Tamandua tetradactyla: one gene and its partner. The protein of the gene in region 1 interacts with the protein of each later gene in a biochemical or structural test. Links are inferred from orthologs where the notes say so. Each region holds a gene or a part of one and is shown on either strand. Other genes may lie near its edges.

Region 1 (10,270 bases):
CAAAGCCAATGCCTGGCACATGGCTGGCATTTGATAAACATTTATTGAAAACATATACAAAGATATTTATGATAGAGTCTTAAAGTTTTTAAATGAAAAAAATAATCAGTTACCCCAACTATTTTGATCAATAGGATTGTCTAGACCACTTAGGTTTTTTTTTTAATTTTTTTGTTAGAGAATTTGTAGGTTTACAGGAAAATAATGCATAAAACACAAAGTTCCCACATACCACCCTATTATTAATACCATGCATTAGTATTGCGACAAATTGTAGCATTTGCTACAATTCATGCAATAACATTTTTATAACTCTTCAATTAACTATAGCCTATTGTTTACAATAGGGTTCACCATGCCATGTTGTCCTATGTGGTTTTTTTTTTCATTTTTATTCTAGTAATATATATAAAACCTAAAATTTCCCCTTTTAACCACGTTCAAATACAGAATTCAATGACGTTAATGATATTCACAATGTCGTGCTGCCATCACCACCATCCATTACCAAAATTTCCATCAACCAAGTTCTGGGGTACCTGATCAAGTTAGCTGGAATACTATGAATGCAGCATCTCAGGTAAAGATTCAGGTGGATATAAGGAAGAAGTGGGCTGAAGTAAACATCACTCAGGAAGAAGGGAGAGGAAACTGAGGTAGGAGAAAATGTGACAAAGGGAAGATTTTCTTTCACATATAACTCCCTCAACTTACCACTATTCATAGACCCTTTGTTAAAAGAGTTCTCTAAGGGATGTGAGGGTAGCTCAGTGGTAGAATTCTCGCCTGCCATGCGGGAGGCCCCATTCGATTCCTGGCCCATGCACTCCCCAAACAAATAAGCAAACAAACAAAAAACCAAACAAAAGCAAAAATTCAACAAATGGTGGTGCAATGAACGGATACTCATATGGAAAAAGAATGAAATGTGACCCCTGCCTTACAGCACACAAATTAAAAAAAGAGTTTCCTATCATCTCTTACTCCTTTACCTCCAAGTAAGCTCCTTTCTAAATAGGTGTAGGAAGGTATCTAAAAATTTCTAAAAACTAGTATCTACCTCATCTGATACCTTATCTGTTAACTGGTTAACTGCCTACAATAAAAAATATCTTATTAAAAACTACCTGGATTTTAAGATTTTTACCTAGATACTCCCCTCTCTGCTCCTTATCACCATCTTTCTGTCCAAACCCCAATATTCAAGCCTAAGCATCCCTGATTGGGCTCATAGTTGGTCAACTGTTTCCCTTCCCATTTTATATGTAGTATCTAATCTGAGTTGTCCCAAAACCTTGGTGGAAAGATCGTCAAGTTGGAGTCTTCTGCTGTGAAATTATTTAGACTGTGCCTCTCCATACTCTTTTCTCAAAGAGGTTGCAGGTTGAGTTACAGATTACAACAAAGAGAGCTCAATTCCAACCTCATCAACTGAAGCCTTGGGGGTGGATCTATGTTTCCTTAAACTATAAGCGTCCAGTTTGAGACTCTGAAGTTCACAGATAATGGACCTTCATGTTTTGTGTCCAGGGCTTAGCATCTCTGCAATTTTAAAGGGACAAGGTGATAAATCAAGTCAGCTCAATCAGGTATAAAAGAAGTAATTTCTCACACGCCAGTCCCTCAATTCCAGATGACTTTCTCTGCCATTTTTCAATTTATATTTGAGACCTGGATTGTTGAGCTTTGTCACTTGGGACTTCATCAGAAAATCATTTACCTTCCTCTTGTTTTTGTTTTTGTTTTTGTTTTTTTATTAGAGAAGTTTTGCTTTACAGAAAAATCATGCAGAAAATACAGGGTTCCTCTATAACCCACTCACGCACATAGCTTTCCTTATTATAAACATTTTGCATTAGTGTGGTACCTTTGTTACAATTGATGAAACATTATTATACTTATAACTATAGACCACAGTTTACATTAATTCACTCTTTGTGTTGTATAGTCCTATGGTTTTTAAAAATTGTTATTCTAGTAACATTTATACAACGTAAAATTTCTCCTTTTTAACCACATTCAAATACATAATTCAGCGATGTTATTGTGCTACCATCACCAGCATCTATTACCAAAACTTTTCCATTGTTTATTTTACTTCTCTCTTACGCCCTCTGACTCTACTCTGAAACTATGAAAAAAAAACTCTTGGGTTGGTTTGGACCTTTTCTTGGAGGGATCCTAAAGACAAAGTTGTCTGAGATGGGAAATATAAATTCCTGTAGGGATAATATAAGGCAATGAGAGGTGCCGAACTACGGGGGTCAGGCACCAAGGAACCAAGGGTTGGGGAAAGCAAACTTGATCAAAACCCTGCCCCATTGTGAAATCTCTGCACTTAGTAAACTTCTCTTTTCTCGTTTTGCAACGGCTTGTCCCTACTGGAAAACCGCAGACACTGCTCCCTGTACCCTCCCTCCCTTGTCCTGGTCCTTTACAAACCCTTTACCCCTCCTATTTTTCTCCTTTCAGGCGTCTAAAGCTCTAACGTCTCATTTCACATCTGACCAAAGGAAACTGTTAATAGAGAAATTCACTGGCTTCTTTTCCTTCCCTGGGTCCTGCAAAGCCTGGGACTCCAACTTAGAGAGATCTTTACCGTGGCGGCCTTGGTTCTTCTAGTTAAAACGCGAGGCATCTAGTGTAGTGGCTCCACTTTGTGGTTGTACAGACTTCCTTTGAGGATGCTTAAATAGCTGACCAAGCCTGGAGGGTGTCAGGCATAGCTGCTCCAGCAACCCGAAGTAACATGGACCTAGGGTGGGCTCTTGGTATAGTGATTAGGATAGGATTCTGTCACCGGCTGCCAGTGCTAAGGGCCAAAAGGTCATAGCGCCCCCTACAGGCAGTGCTGATTAAAGTTACTTAGGCGAGTCGACGGTATCACGTACGCTCTACTCTACCAATCGAAAATTAATAATCGCTTCCTCTGTTCCCCATGGAAACAACCCCGCCCCTGTCACTCTATGCCTCATTCCCTGGAGCGAATTTGGCTTTTTATTGAGTATTCAAGCTGACAATCAAATATCTGAGTTTTCTGGTTGGATATCTTACTTCCGTTGAGAAAGCTAGTACATTGATTGGTCAGTAAGGCAATTCTGGCGTCTGGTGTCCAATGACCCTTATCCTAGGGGGCTGCTTAATGGAGACGTAGAGCCAATCAGCGGCTGCGTTCTTTTTGCGGCTCCACGTCGGCACCAGCTGCGGGGCAAGATGGAGGCGCTGATTTTGGTAGGAGTCGGAGGGGCAGGCGAGATGCTGAGATGTCCATAGGGGCCGGAGTCGGGTTCAGCTCGACTGGAGGGAGGAGAGGGGGCAATTCTGGGTAATCCTCGGGGACCGGAGGTTCTGCTGGCCCTCGGAATAAGCGTGTGGCCTAGCACAGGAGCTAAAGCCTCGGACCGGAGTAGGAAGCCCTGCCGGGGAGAAAGAGGGTCATAGAGTCGGTGAAAAGTTGAAGGGAGCACATGGAGTCCGAGGATACATAGAATTATAAGCGTGCAGGGTTGGGGGCTTCTTTAGATTTTCCCTAATTCTTTACATTGTGGGTGATCTCCTGATCTGAGTTTCCTTAAATATCTAAATTCGCCCCAAATTGTAGGATTAGAGTTTTCTCATCACAAGTTGTGAGTTTGATGGCTATGAGTTTGACATTCCTTGCCGTATTCCTTCAAAAACCGTTTTTCTCCCTACTTCGGTTTCCCGTTAATTCCTGTTATGTCTGTCTGTCTTGATGAAGAGTAAGTTTATTCCACTGAAGTTCTGGAATAGCTCATAGAGTTAGTTTGGATTGTAGAATATTTTTTCCAGATTCTTTATTCTGTTCTCCTTTTTCCCTCCTCATTTAGACTTTTGGAATTCTTACTGTAGGATCTGCGATGCTGACTCTCTCCCTGGATACATGAGAATTGTAGTGGTTAAAGGGGCATGTTAGCCCGTTTTTAATTCATAACATCCATTTTAGTTGTTCAAACCAGTAAAATACCTATTACTCCTTTTGACTGGACCTAAGCATTTCTCTCAAAAATATCCTGTCTTCAATTTGGAAATATATATATATGAATATGAATTTATGATATGATATGAATTTAGTTCCTGGCCTCCTTCCTTGAGTTGAACTCTAGAAAGCTTTCCGGGAGACTTTTCTTTTCCTCCGACTTTATGCACATCCGTATCCAGATCCTCATCATCACGTAGAAGAGACTAACAGGTTTCAGTTTTCCCCTCCTTCAAAACTGGCAAAGGTGGAGATAATTCCTAGATTGTTCAAATCTAGGTAGAAAGCTTAAAATCCAGGTACTTTTAAATATATTTTTAGTAGCAGGCAGTTAACCAGTATCCTTAACCAATTAACAGATAGGATAGATAGATGCTAGGGAATTGGTTTCTTTGGAAGTTTTTAGAAATTTGTAGATACCTTCCTTACATGTTTAGAGGGACCCTGCTTGGCAGTAAAGGAGCAAGAGAAATGATAGTTAGGGTGCCCTTTTAGCAAAGGGTTTATGAATAGTGGTGAATTGAGGGAGTTATATGTGAAAGTCTTCCCTTTGTCACATTTTCTCACACCTCAGTTTCCTCTCCCTTCTTCCTAAGGGACATTTGTTCCAACTCACTTCTTCCTTATATCCACTTGAATCTGTACCTAAGATGCTGCATTCATGGTGTTAGAGCTAACTTGATCAGGTACCCCAGAACTTTGCTTTAAAAATCATACTGAAGTAATCAATGCCTAATGAGTAGGGAGTTTTTGTGTAGGTTGATGGACATTTTGGTAATGGATGGTGGTGATCGCAGCATGACATGGTGAATGTGACTATTACCACTGAAGTGTGTACTTGAAAGTGCTTAAAATGGGAAATTTTATGTTGTATATATGTTACCATAGTAATAATATAATCCTCATGCTTTTTTTTTTATCCTGAGGGACCAATGTAATTATGTTAAATGGGAAATCAAAGTACGAGAAAACTTTGGTTCAACAGGATAAAGATCTAAGGTGAGATACAGTGAGTCCACATTCTTTTCACAGTGAAGATGATGACCTAAGAATTGTGCTTAAGGAAGCACAATATCAAAACTAGGATTAGATTGGATTTATTCAACCTCTAAGATCACATCCCTCTATGATGTTACCAAGATTCTCTCACCATGGGCTTTCTCCGTCCTCTGTATGCAAAATTGTCCTTTCAAACATCACCAACAGATATTAATCCCTGTACTGGTCTCCAGAGATTTTAAGATATTAAATTAGTATTATCTTTCCTTTGGGTTAACTCTTTTCAACATTTTTTGCTCTTTACATACAGTTATTTGGGGCTCTCAATTAAGAATTTAAACACTTTTCTTCACTTTTCCAGCTTTCTCAACTGGAGTTCCATGAGCCTTAATGCCCTAAGGCATCCATTGTAATGAATCAGTCTCTATCCACTGCATCCAGAATGCCATTCATTATGAACCCTCCATTGGGGGAAGTGAGAAAATGGTCACTTAAATAATTTTCTGTGTTATGTAGTTCTGATGAGGAACTTTTGTTGAGAATCAGGTAATATTTCCTAAATCTCTATTCTCTCCTCATTATTGTTACACACTGGTCTACCAAAATTAGCTCCATTTGATTGAGAATCAAACTTCCTTACAGTACCTTTTTTAAATCTCATCCTCTCTTCTGTCTATTCTCAGCCATATCTCCTGATTCTTAGGTCATCATCTTCATTGTGAAAACAATGTAGACTCTCTGTATCTCACCTTAGATCTTTATCCTGTTGAACCAAAGTTTACTGTACCAGCTGAGTGTTTAACAGGCCACTCCCTAGAGAGGGCAAACTCCTTTCAGAGTAACTTTCCTTTTCCTCCTTTCACATTTCTGTTTCCTGGTTTGGCTGGACCTCTGGGGAAATCTGATCAGAAAATATTCTTCTGTCCTCACTCACCTTGACATAGCACACAGTTGTAGAAGAAGTAAAGAGTTGAGAAGAAGGAAAGCGTAAACTAGAGGTGATCAAGTGGAACTATTGATCAAAGTTGGCTCTGATTATGAGAATTTCTTAATCCCAATAGGTTCCCTTCACTTAGGTATGTTAGAATGGGTCACATTTCTTTCCTGAATTAAGTAATCCAGCTCTAGCTTTCAAACAGATTTGTTTCCTCTTTCTCAGGTCTACTTGTAATTCCTAAGGAAAGTGACCCTTTCATCTCTCTGTTTCCAGTGTTTAATAATAATGTCCCAACCTCCATCTTTGAACTCTACTTCCTCTTTCCTGCTATTTCTGCTTGTTTTCCTTTTTTCAGTTGTGAATGGATAAGGATCTCAGCAGGTCACCATTCTCCATTAATACCCTATAGAATCTTAAAGATAATGACTTGTCCCCTTCAACCCTTTTTTTTTTCTCAAGGCTGAATTACTCTAGCAGTCTAGATCTTTAAATCTTTCCTCTTAAGTTTCATTTTTCCATATACTCTCTGGATTCACTTTCACTTGAACAGTACTTTACAGATTAGGCTTCTAATTCTATCCGTTCTCTTCCCTTAATAACGTTTTTATCTTAAAACAGTGACCAAATCCTGAATTCTAAACCCTATACAAAAGTCAAGCCATCCAGAGTGCAGGAGGGTATGTGTATATGTGCAGAATACATCAATGACTCTTAGAGGTTGATGTTGCTCCATGGCCTTGGCTTCCTGAATCATCTTAATGGGGCTTTTGTTAAATTCCTTTGGCACTAACAGTGGAGGTACTTGGCCTAAATGCCTCCTCCCCCTGCTCTGGGCAAAGGTATCAATTACATTAAGCCCCCAAAGCACTCCCATCTCGTCCCTGGCAGTCCCCTGTGCCCCTCTCCCAGCTGCGTCCTTGCCAGTGCCTGGCCCCTCCATTTCGTTAGGAGAAGCAATCTCCTCCTTCCTGCACTGTGGAGATATATTTCTCAGCTAGGGCGCAAGCAGTGCCAGCACTGCCCCCGGTGAGGTCCCTGGCAGCCATAAAATTTTTTATTGTGATTATGTTGGTGTCGGGGTGTCCATCTGGGTTATTGCACACCTAGTTTAATTGATTGAAGTTTAATTTATTGACACTTCACATTAAATGATCAGAATAAACTGTGCTGTTACTCTGGCCGGCTTGTTTTAATGGTTGATTGCTGGAAGCAGACCTCGGCTTGAACTAAAACCCCCAAAGAGCAATTGACGCTGCTTCTAACTCTCCCCATGTCTTGCCCTCCAAGAAGACCTCGTTATAGATTTCCGACGTATTTATATATATTTTTTCCTTCTCTTTTACAGTAGTGGGAAGGAGTTGGTCCCCGGCAAGGTATAAATTATAGCAAAGGTCTAGGGGAGCTGTCATATGGTCAAAAGAGGAGGAGGGGGCCTCCCTGTGAAGAAAGTCAGACCCTTGAGAAGCCAAATCTTTCCTGGGAGGCAGATTTAGGGTCTTTTTCATCTAGATACTTGACTACTGTTTTTTACTTTATGCTGCCGGCATAACCTGGTTAGAGTCAGGATACTGACAGGAAAACTAGTTGTGAAGAGGGGAACTAGAAGAGACAAGTAGAGGGTGGAATGGGAATAAAGAATCACTGAATCACTGCCTACTTAACCACTTCTGCCAGAGTAATTAGGAAGAGGGAGTCCGAATTTTTTATTATAAGGTGCCTGCCCTGGCAAGGGCCCTCACACAGTGTTCTGCCCTACCTCCCCTGATTCTGGGCAGAATAACCCTTCTAATGAGATTGATTGGAGGGAGCACTCCTGTCTGTAGTTTCCCTATCCTAGATAGCTCTGTCTACCTGTTTTCTTCTACTCCTTTTCTACTACTGTGTGGCTTTTAGAGGGATCCTGGAATAAGAGAGAGGATAATAATTCTCCCTCAGAGGCTGATTTGGGGGAGCAAATAGATAAAGATGAACACAGAGGTTATCGGTTCATTCTTTCAGAGACTGGCCTTTCCTTTACAGTAGCTGGGGATGGGGAGGGCCATAAATCATGACACAAATCATGAGCTAGGACCTTACCCCATTTGTTTTTTCCCTTTTCTGAGTGACACTTAAATGAGGGCTCCTAGATTATCAGACTGGAAAGGTAGGAAGTTCTAATGCTGCTCTGGACCTAAGGGTGTCGAGTACAATATGATTTCTACTTATTTATCTCCTTTCCCAGCAGTCTTGCATTGTCCTGCATTTCTGTGATTCTTTGCACTTTCGTGGTGGTTGAAGAATTAGAGATTGTTATCTCTGAGCAAAAAATTTCTCCAACAGATAGGTTTTCTGAATTTTCAGGAAGGAACTGAGACTTTGCATTCCTGAAGAACTTGGGGGCCTCATTATCTGTGTCTTGCCCATCTCACAACCACCAGATTCAGCCCTGAAAACCTGGATGAATATGGTGCTGACCTTTGCTCCCCCTGCTGGCTGTGTGTGTTTTCTCAATCATATTAATTTATGAAGGCCACCTGCGTGTTTATTGAAGTCATTGCTGGATACCAGGGAAAGCGGAGGGGATGATTTTACGAAAGTATCACTCATCCCCCCCCTTTCTTTCCTCCCCCCACCATTGTTGTCTTCAGAGAGAATCTCTTATTTAATTCCAAACTTAGGTGTATGAATACCCTGAACTCATAAAAATGTGTGAATGTGTATTTTTCTGGGAACAGGGTACGTAGTTCATCAGCTTATCAAAGGGGTCTTCTGTAACTCAAAAAAGGCATTAACCTCAACTGATACAGGTCAGGCCTCTCATTTCTCTCATGAGGAAGCTGAGTCCTAGAGAAAGGTAGTTATTGAGTTAATGGCTGAGCCAAAGTATAATATAAATGTTTCAGGAGTTCAGAGACATTTTCTGTTGCATTTTATGAACTTTTTTTGGGGGGGGCGAGGGGGTGCATGATCCAGGATTCGAACCTGTGCCTCCCAAGTGGAAGATGGGCATCTCCCGCCGAACCACCTGTGTATCCCATCCTGTTGCATTATATGTGATGTCGGAATTCTTGATGGCTGTGCTTTACGTACTATGTGTTATATCTATGTCAGGTAGGAAGAGTCTTTGTAGATGTCTCTTCTTGCCATCATTTCTTTCTAAGACAGGTATTCAGTTCCCTCCTTATAACCAGTAGTCAGTCTTGTGTCACGTGGGTAGGTTTCTGTGATACTTGTGGCTCCTGTTCGTTTCTCAGCTATGCTTCTTGAATCTAAGCAAATCATTAGGTGGTATGTGAAAACTGCTCTTCCCTGTCAAAGACTTTTAGCTAATTCTTCTTTTCTTTTCATCTGAGGTCTTGAATGTTGTGGCTGACAAGTTAGATCCTCAGTCCCTGAGGAGCATTTCATTTGAAAGAAGTTGGCACACAGAAAGGGGGCACATACCTGCTTAGCCTTGTAGAACTGGGGGTGGTGGCTAGGAATTTCTCCTTCTAGGATCTCTGACCTGTTTTGGTTTTACTTTATAAATAAGGTTGAGGAAAGAGCATACTGCTATATCATTTCTAATTGATCAAAAGCTATTGACATTTCCCTAAGGATTTCTTTGTATGTAGGAAATGAAAAACTTTCCAGGAATCTCAATCACATCCTTTCTTGTCCTCTTTCTGCTCTGTGGATAGCATCTTCTAACTCCTTAAAGTCATCTTGATTTTTTTTTCACCTAAATGAATCAAATAAGTAATTAATCATAGCCCCCATACATCCTCTCCACCTGCTTCAAACACTATTCCCCTAGTTCTTTCCTGAGCTTTCCCCAAAGTGTGTATGTACGTATATACACCATACATAAACACACAAAAAACATACTTAATTTAGGGCTTTTTCCTCCTCCCCTACCTTGGCTTACAAGAAGCACAAATAGAGAGACATTATCCAGAGCTGCCTTTTTGATATTTTGGCTAATGACTACAAGCCTAAGGAAGCTGCAGGCCTTCCAGAAGGTCCATAGGGGGCAGCACTAGGAATGATTCTTCCCTCTAGTCCTCTGTGTGCTGGGAGAGGGTACTGGAAGATGTTGATGTTTTTTACCAGGCTTCGGAAGCCCCTGATTTAAATCTTAGGACTCATTTTCAGCTGCCTAGTTTCTTGTTCACTGTTGTTTCAACTCTGGAGGAGTGCATTCTGGTTTTCTTGATAATAAAGACATATGAAAATCTTATCTGAGCCACTCAACCTCCCACACACCAATCTGCGTACACATCATTTCCAGGCACTGTTAGCATTTGAGGTGAAGTTCTGTTATACACTCAGGCTGTGGCTCTCTGAAAGTCAGTGCATCACAGAACTTTGTCTCGAAA
Region 2 (9,195 bases), on another chromosome or scaffold:
TAACCTCCTTGTGTGTCCCACAGGGAGTTGCAGTCCATGGCTGACCAGGAAAAGGTCTCTCCAGCTGCCATCAAGAAGACTGTGTTGGACAAAGTGAAGCTGGGCTCCTCTGAGGGGACCTCACTGTCCCCTTCTGGCCACGCCAAGCTGCTCCCTCGCAGCCTAGGCCCCTTGGGCAAGAAGGACTGACGCCACCCATCTGTCTGTCCTCCACCTGGGCTCTCTCAGCCCAGGTCACACCACAGTGTCCTTGTAGTGGCCGCTGCCTATGGTCCTGATCGGCTCAGGCTGCTGAAAGGCAGGTCAGAGCCAGGGCTGAAGTCAGGGAAGGAACGTGTCACTTCCTTCTCTCTGGAAACCTCCATGACCCCCAGGTGCTTTCCAACCCAGAACAGGGGTAGATTTTCTGACTTCAGCCTCCCTACACCCAGAAACCAAACCAGGAGACCCGGGCTGGGGAAGGGTCTTCTCGCACTCCCCACGGTGCCAGCCAGCTGGGGCTCTACCCCTTGTTAGTACAAGGGTCAAGTTTCCCCTCCATGAAGTCCCACCCAGTCTCACTCCTCTGGCACCCTCCTGCTGCACCCTGGGGCAACCCCTCTCCCTCTCTGTTTGGAGGGGGTGGGGCAGTTCTCAATGTCTGAGCCCAGGGCAAGAGACACAAGTCTCGACAAGCTGTGCCCATGGCTTCCCTCTGACATTCGGGGAAAGGACCCTCGTGTTCCCAGGGTCCCCCGTGCCCCTTCCTCCCCACCTCCCACGATGTTACAGGTTAAATAAACGATGTCCCGGCCTCCTGTCCTCGACTTCACCGTTTGGGCCAAGCCCGAGGGGAACCCTCAGCTGCAGGGTCGCTGCTGGTGGGTTTAATGTCAGAGGATGGTGGGCACGGCAGAGGGTCTCCTGCGAGCAGAGGGGCCTGGAGGTCGGGAGCATGCCTGAATGCCGGTGTCCGGGGCTGGGCTTGCTTGGCAATCCCCCCGCTCCCCACTGCTCTCGCCAGTTGAACCTGTTCCTGGTGAGGAAGGCATCCCAGAGGGAGATGTTGCCAGGGTGGCGTCTGCAGGCCCCTTACCAGAGCCGGGAATGTTCAGTCAGACACGCTATACTGAGTATGGAGATGGCAGGTCGGGGCCTTCTCCCCTGATTGAGACAGTCGCCCCCCAGGGGTCCTAGGTCGGGCATCTGGGGGGGGGGCGCAGTGGGAGGAGGGAGAGCCCATCCTGTGGGGGTAAGAACTGCCCTACATTGGAGGAGGTGTCCACCCTTCCCCTGGGGCTGCTTCAGAACCAGGCCCCAGGGCCCCTGGGTGGGCAAAGGGGACCTGCCCTTCAGGAGGTGGAGGAAAGGTGCCCCAGAGTAAATAAGGGCACAGCTGTGTTCCTCTGTCCCTGCCAGGATGGCTCGGGAGAGCTCTGGCTGCTCCCCAGAGGTGGGGTGAGGGGGGCCCTGCCCTCCAGAGTTGTGACCTGGTGGCGAGAGATAAGATGGGCGGCAGGCAGCTGGTGCTGGGCTGAAGTGCCTACGGGGTGACTGTGACTCTGCTTGGAGGCCCCCTCCCGGTGGGAGCCCCCAGCCCGGCCCCTAGCCTGCATGGGTAGAAGTGGGCATAGGGACAGGGGTGTGGACCCTGAGTTTCCCAGTGCCAGGCAGCAAGCAGCCAAAGTCATCCCCGCCCCCACAGCACAGGGTGCTGGGCACCCACCGCCTGGGGACAAGATGCCCCCAGAAGACACCTTCCCACAGGCCACACACCTGGCCCCAGGACCCAGGATCATGGCCATTTGCTAACCAGGCTCCTCAAATCTTATTGCCTGGAGGTGGGAGGGAAACCAGAAGACAAGACTCAGGGGTCCGAAGCGGTAGAAGCACATCATGGGGCCTCGGGTAGGAGGCCGGGATCCAGACAGATTTTGCTGTTTGGGGAGGTGTTTGTGCCCCTCCTCGAAGGAGGTACCAGCAGGCGGGGTGCCCAGCCTTCCTGAGGTGTTTCTCGATTAAGCAAACGGCTAGAGGTGAGGAGTCGGAGTAGAGCTGGTGGGGGCCCGACGAGGGTCTGAGCTGGGTGGAAGAGGGCCTGGAAGTGGACTGAGGCAGGAGGCAGAGGGCCCGGAATCTCCTTCCAGGAGACCTGGCACCCAGGGAGGCCGCTGCAAGTGTGAGCTCGGCCCTAAGGATCCAGAGCAGGCCACGGAGGGAGCTGCAGTCTGGGTATCCGGATCCTCACACGCAGGTGGGAAGCATCCAGCTGGGTGAAGTTCAGCCCAATAGCCCCCTCCCGGCCCCCTCCACTGCCAGCTCTGCACTTCCCATGTCCTAGGGCCCCTCCACCCTGCAGCTCAGAGCCTGGAGAAAGTCTTACTGCCCTTGGCCCAGAGGGTTCCCTTTGACCTGGCTTCTGCCTCAGTTTCCTGCCGGGAACCTGGTCCTAAATTCTGGCTCTGATCTGGTCTCGCTCTGCCAGAACCTTCCCTAGTGAGGCCGAGCCCCGGCCCAAGGCCCCATACGAGTCGGATCCGGGATCTAGAATGAATGGGCCAGACAGAGAGGACGAGTCACCCTGGGAACCCCAGAATGGGCCATCGCTCTGGACCCCCTCCTTGGAGGAGAGAGGCCAGAAGGAGCAGGCCTGGGCCTGGATCTAGGTTTGGACTAGGTACCCTCAGCCTTCCTGGAGGTCAGTTTGGGGCCTGCTGCCCAGTGGGAGGAGCAAGCAGGGTGCCAAATTCTGTCCCCTGGAGGGTGCGCCCGACCTGAAGAGGAGTTGTAGGACAGCGGCTCCTGGAAAGATGTCCAAGGCAGTTTCAGCAGGAAGGTGGCGCCCAGTGGCCAGGCAATGTCCAGAGGCGGGCTTGTGCAGGGAGCCAGGCTGGAGCCTCTGCTGGTGGACAGCTGACAGACAGATGGACACACCCAAGACAGCAGGCCTTCCCTCAGAAGGAGGAGGAGCCCTTCAGATGCCCCAAAGGCCTTGCCAACTTTGGCTCAAGCAAGGCTGAGCTGCTACTCCCAGGACAAGTGCCCTGGGCCCATGTGGAGAGCCGGCCAGGAGGCTCAAGGGCAGGTGTTGAGACCTGCACACCCAACCAGCTTGGCTCTTGCCAACCCCTGAGCTTCTGGGGCTTGCCAGCTAGACTGAGATAGGTCCTAGGGCCGGGCAATTCAGCCCTTTCAAGGGCAGTACCTTTCTCTCCCTCAGCAGCCCCCTCCCCCCTCCGCTCTAGACGTGCTGTGACATTGTGGAGCAGGTTCTGGGGTGGGGGCAAGGGTCATGGGTCGAATTGTGTCCCCCAGAAAGACAGGTTTACGTCCTAATCCCTGCTGCCTGTGAACATTATCTTTTCTGGAAATAGGCTCACTGCAGATGGAATGTTAAGGTAAAGCCTATTTGACTAGGGGGACCTAACCTGATGTAACTGGTATCCTTGTAAGAGGGAGGTCTGGACAGACACACAGAGGGGAGATGGCCCTGGGAAGATGGAGGCAGAGGCGAGTGATGCAGCTACCAGCCATGGACCCTGGCAGCCACCAGAGGCTGTAAGAGGCCAGGCAGGATTCTCCCCTGGAGTTCTCAGAGGGTGCATGGCCCGGACCTCACGTGACTTCATACTTGAAGAACGGTGAGAGAATAAATGTATGTTGGTTCAAGGCACCAAGTCTGTGATCATCTGTTAGTTTCTGACCTGGGAAACTGGCCTGGGTTTGGGGGGGGGGGCAGCGGGGAGCCGGGGTTACCTTCTAGAACGTGCCCTCTCCACAGGCCCCAAGGGAAGGGAGGGTAGGCAGCACAGCACCCCATCCCCTGGACCGTGGATGGAGCTGCAGAGCAGCTGGAGAAGAGAAATTGGGGGCAGGCTCCTTCCCAAATCAAAATAATGCATAATTAGCTTCTCAGTCACCCCTGAAAAGTGCCAAAGACCCAGGCCTGGGGATGGAAGGGGCTGTCCACGCCCCAGGGTCAGTCACCCACATGTTCTGAGGTTGCTGGGGCTGGTGGCCCTATGGACAGGGAGGAGCAAGTTGATGGCCGGCTCCTGATGTCACTTGGTGCCACCTGCCAGGCCAGTCCAGCCCTCAGGGGCCCACATCCTGCTGAGCAAGGCCGAGAAAACAGCCTCACCTTAGGGGTGAGAAAGAAAAAGAGAAGGGGGAACGGGCCAGGATTCTGGGCCTGCACAGCAAATCGTTGCTGTTTCTTACATTAAAATCGGGGCCTTCAGAATCTCGGCCAAGAGCTCTTGCTGCTCCCGCAGGCCCAGGCATGAGGGGAGACTGAGTCCGCACTCATGCTCCAAAGGAGCAGGTAACGGTGACAGCCGCACACAACCGCACAAGGTGGAAGGAAAAACAAGCTGCCGGAGCTGGCAGACTGGCAAGGCTCTGGGGCCTCTTGGGTGGCCTCAAGTACCCACTTCAAGGACTCCCTTCGCTCCGGCGTGGCCCTGAACTCTGGCTCGGTGGGTTTTTCTTCCTGGCTTCACAAGCGGGAAGGAAGAAGGCTGAGTAGAAAGTCGGGCAGGTGGAAGTGGACACCCGAGGGACGGCCCCTTCTTCCCGCCAGCCGCCTTTCCCGGGGAACTCCGGACAGCAAGCGCAGGGCCAAGCGCACTCAGGAACGCATTTCTGGGCAGATGTTGAGGAAACAGGTAAGTCGACTGCGAATTCAGCGGCCCTGGGAGCTGGGTCAGGACCGACAGCCCCTGCTCACGAACGGGAGCGCGCAGGGGTGGGCCGTGCGGGGCGGGTTCTTGGGGTTGCCCCGCAGGAGGTGCCCAAGGGTGAGCAGGTGGTGTTCCCGCTCCCTCCATGAATGCTCCGGGACCTGGGTCCCACCTGCGCCTGGGGAAGTGGTCTTGGAAGCCGTGAGCTCAGAAAGGCTCTGGAGATGCGGCGGAGCGAGGAACGGCCGCCCCCACGTCCTAAAGACCGGGGAAACCCGCCTTGAGTTCGGAGCGCGCTCCCGCTGCCGCCAGGAGGGCGTGGCCGGACCCGCGAGACCCCACCCGGGGACAGGCGGGCGCGGCGGGCGTTGCCAGGGCGACGGCCCTGGGGCGCGCAGGCGCCGTGCGGCGCGCCCGCCCCGCCCCCGGGCGCCACCGGCGCGCCTTCCCCTTTAAGCGCCAGCCGGTCGCGTCGCCGCTTCATGAATGGAGCCCACGTGACCAAACATCATGTGACGTCTGTGGAGCGGCGGCGGCGGCGGCGGCGGCGGCGGCGGATCCTGAACCTGGTCCGGTCCGGCCCGGCCTTCTCAGCGCGCTCGGCCCGGCCCGCGCAAGCGGCGACCCCACCCAGACCCCGTGCCCGGCCCCCCGCGCCCAAGCCCCGCCCCGCGCGGCCCCGGACCCCGCGCGGCCTCGCCCGGCCCCGGCCCCGGCCTTGGCCTCGGCCCGCCCGGGCCCGCAGTGTGGTGAGTGCGGCGGGCGGCGCGGGGGGCGGCGCGGGGGCCGGCCGCGGGCCGCAGGCTCCTCCCGGTACGCGGGGGTGTGGGCCGGGCGCTCCCGCCGAACGATGGGGTACGACCGCCCGGGATCTGCCCCGCGCCCTGCTGGCGGCCAGTGCCTCGATTTCCCCACAGCTCGGGGGCCAGGCCCCTGGCCTCTGCCACCCCGCGTGCCGCGGGGGGTGGAGCACCGGGTGGACGCGCGGCCACGAGCGGCGCGCGCGTGGAGCTGGCTCGGAGGTGTCTGGGGTCTTGAAGAGGGAGGGGCGGCCTCGGGGCCGGAGGGAAGGGCGGGGTCGAGCGGGCCGTCGCGGGGCGCATAGGTATCCCCAGGAGAGCCCGGCGGGTTACCGCTCCGAGTGCTGATTCATCAGGTGTCCGCGCCGGGCCCCCCGCGCGCAGGGGTCCCCGGCGGGGCCACGGGAGGAGGAGGCGCTTGCGGAGCGGGCCGGGAAGCCCCTGCCCGCGTTGGCCTCGCCTCCGGTCGCACGCGTGCGGGGCCTGAGGGAGACTTGCTGAGTCATCAGCATGAGGTCACTCGCTGCTCAGCCTGGTGCCTGAGGAGTGGTGGTGGGGGCTGGCGGGAGTGACTTTGGGGGCTTCAAGGCCGGGAAGTTAAGGGGTGGAAGGAAAAGCCTGGGGATGTGGTGAGGGGGTCAGGCAGAGGGGTGGGGGGCTTCTATGTAAGTCTGGGCTGAAGGTGAGAGTGGCAGGCGCGGTGGCGGACTGGGGAGGCAGCAAAGGGGACCGCCTGCAGGTCAGCTGTCCGGGAGCCTCCCAGGCACGCTGTGCGCAGACAACCGGCAGTCCCAGGTCTGGGGCAGTTCCGGAACAGGGAGAGTTCTCTGAGCCGAGAAGAGGGGAGGAACTCAGGGGCCTGCTGACCCTGCTGGGAGGGAAGATTTTTCTTGTGCCCGGCCAGGCAGGGCAGCCCCTGGGAGAATGAGCTGGTGGGAGAGAGAAAGGTTCGCTCGGCTTTGAGGGTCTGGGGTGAGCTTTGAGGGTCTGGGGTGAGCCGGAGCAAAACAGGAGAGGAAGCCGGCTGTAGGGCTGCTCTGCCAGGAAATTGCAAGGGAGAGGAAGCAATGGAACTTAGAAATCAGGGGCACACTGTGTGTGAGCAGGCTTCTCACTCAGCTAGCCTTGGGGTTTCAGGAGGCTGCAGGTGGTTGGAGTTGTGAGGGGCCTGGCCTTCTGGGGTGCAGCAGATGGAATGGGAAGAGTACAGCTCCCCATCATCCCAGAGTTGGTCCCACCTGAGGCTGAGGTTCGGCAATGTGTGAAGTTCACAGAGAGTGTGAAGCCCTGCTGGGTTGTGGCCAGGTGGCCACAGACTCCTGGGCAGTGACAACTCGAGGGTGGTGTGGCTGAGCTGCCTTTCTTTGCGAGCACAGAGCACTGGTGGTTCCGGGGCAGGGGAGGGAGCGTGCAGCCCACCAGGAGCCCTTTCTGCTGCAGTCTTGGCCAGCTTGGGCTGACTGTGGTTTGTCCTCGGGAGTGCCATCCCCTTGTTTGTTCTCTGGGGGTTATAGATGCCAGATGTCTTACACTTTAACAGATCCTTTGGTATTTTATACCCCTAGGGAATTACATATTCCTGGAGGGGGTAGTTGAGTCTTCTCAGTGAAAATTAATTTGAGACTTGTTTCAGAGAATGGCTTTCTTAGCTGAGCGGCTTCTGGAGAATGCGAGTCTGAAGGGTGGGGCCAGGTTGGGGTGCCCGAGTGGGTCCACTGCACCTGCCCTGCTGCAAGCTCTGGCCAGCGGGTTTCAGACCTCGATGGTGGGAGCAAGGGCTGCCAGTCTGGCCCCAGCCCTGTGTCCCGGGATTTTTCCCAAGGGGAAGGGGTGGGGCCACCCCAGCCTTCTACCCTTTCCTGGTTCTCTGCCTGAGTGGGTGGCCAGTGTACCCTTGTGGGTTGGGGCCCTTGGGACCATCTGTATCCCTCCTCAAGGGGGCTCAGTTCTGGGGAAGTGGCAGGGCCCCAGCTATGGTCCAGCCCCAGATGTGGCCTGTTGGAACACAGCGTCCATGGGTGCCGGAGGCCACCACCCTCAGGCTGCCTCCAAAGGCTGCTGTGTCCCTCTCTGTGTCCCCAGGTGTACCCCTGAGTGGCAGGCAGGAAGCCCCGGCTGTGCAAAGAACTGCCCCGCCCCCACTGTGCACAGGCACACTCACACACGCACACATGCCTCGGGTGAGGGGTGATTGCTGTGCATGCTGAGTCCGGGCCTTCTGCAGAGGGGAAAATCTGTTGAGGAGGCACTTTTCCACACCTAGTCGCCACACTCGGCACTTTTCAGTGATCTCTTAGAAGTGCTGAGTGGTCTGGGGGTGGGGACAGGAAAAGCTGATGCCAAGGCAACCTGGGGACCCCAAGGCAGTGTCTCTGCCCCCAGCTTGGGCTTGGCTGGAAGGGCCTTTCTCACCCCTACTGGGGCCAGGTGCTCTGACAGTTCTCTGGCCTCTAGTTCCCGGTCTTCCCCAGCCTTTGACCTGGAGAAGGCACGAGCCACTGCTGGCTGTGGCTAACACTGCCTCTCCTCCCCTCTTCCTTTTCCTGCAGCCTCTCCTGCAGCTTCCAAGCTGGAGGGGGTGGGGTCTCCATCCCAGTGCAAACCTGTGCTTCTCCCTCCCCTGCCCACACTCCTCAGTGGGAGCAAGAAAGCCTGCCCCCCCCCCCCCCCCAAAAAAAAAACTCTGCCTCTGGTGCTTGTGGCTTTTGCTTGCAGTATGTCTCACCCTTCCAGTGTACAAGTGTCTTCTGAGCCATTTACCTTCCTGGATCTAACCTGGGAGGTGGAGGCACAACGGGGATCTGGGGTACTTGCCATGGGCCTGGCCAGAGCTGGGCTGAGCCTGGAATCCCCTTGGAATCCAGGGGGTAGGTAGGCACAGAAAGCATAAAGGGGGGGTGGCGAGGAAGGGTACTTCTTTGGTTCAGCTTTTAGGGCAGCTCTTTGGCTAACCCTTTTGTTTTCATTCCCTGGGCCTGTGGGCAGTGACCCCAGGAGGCCAGAGAGCAGTCAGTGACCCTAGGGTGTGGAGACCCCCTGCCCCCACTGGGCAGGCTTCTGGCTAAACGTGGGCACACTTGTGAAACACCCTGGATAGGGTGGGGCAGGGGACCTGAAGTGGCACCCAAAGCCACAAGGATCGTTGCCCCATCAGCGGGAGGTGGACCTTGGCCAGGCTGGAGTCACAGGCGGGTCCCCAAAACGGAGCTAGTTGAGTGACATGGCCCCCCCCCAACATCCTGGCTTTTCAGTTAGACTCCCTCGCTCTCCTGTCTGCACAAGTCCCTAGCGGGGACAGACCCTCTTAGCCATGGCGAGCAGGGGCTCTGTCCAAGACTTGTGGGAGATGGTCTTTGGGGGTGGGCCCCTGGACCACACCCGCGGGGTCGCTGGCCCCGCCCTCACCTGCTGCGGCCCCCTGGGCCCTCCCGGGGCTGTGCTGGCTGGCGGGAGTGCCAGCGCCTGGGAGGGCGCGGCGCCATGTGCTGAGTCAGCGTGACTCGCCAGGAGCAGCCGCTCTGGGGCTCGCGCCGGGGTTATTTTTAAAGCTCGTGGTTTCCTTCTAGGCCGGCCCCTCCCGCCTCTCACTCCTAATCTCCCCCGGCCCCTCTTCTGTGCCTCTGCCTCCGTACCAGACTGCAGTTCCCCTTCCCCCATCAGACCCTCCTGGCCTCCCCTGGCGCCCAAAGGGCAGAGCAGAGCTGCCCAGCCTGGGAACTGTGGAGGGGCTGTCC

Evidence for each region. The genes of interacting proteins can lie anywhere in the genome.
Region 2: the proteins of NFE2 (region 1) and MAFG form a complex in vitro, tested with the Homo sapiens proteins (2 studies listed by BioGRID and IntAct, with this or other methods). The link is inferred for Tamandua tetradactyla from reciprocal best matches to the Homo sapiens genes NFE2 and MAFG.

What each region holds. Positions count from the first base shown.
Region 1 is NC_135333.1:115,698,514-115,708,783, forward strand, and holds the start of NFE2 (transcription factor NF-E2 45 kDa subunit), read right to left. Parts: upstream 3,860-10,270; 5' UTR 3,232-3,859; coding exon of another isoform or gene 3,214-3,231; 5' UTR 2,600-3,213; intron 1-2,599. Other genes in the region: COPZ1 (coatomer subunit zeta-1), read left to right, coding at 3,214-3,231. UniProt on the Homo sapiens protein: Component of the NF-E2 complex essential for regulating erythroid and megakaryocytic maturation and differentiation. Binds to the hypersensitive site 2 (HS2) of the beta-globin control region (LCR).
Region 2 is NC_135332.1:74,104,529-74,113,723, reverse strand, and holds the start of MAFG (transcription factor MafG), read left to right. Parts: upstream 1-4,536; 5' UTR 4,537-4,646; intron 4,647-5,364; exon of another isoform or gene 5,365-5,410; intron 5,411-9,097; exon of another isoform or gene 9,098-9,195. Other genes in the region: PYCR1 (pyrroline-5-carboxylate reductase 1, mitochondrial), read left to right, coding at 24-189. UniProt on the Homo sapiens protein: Since they lack a putative transactivation domain, the small Mafs behave as transcriptional repressors when they dimerize among themselves.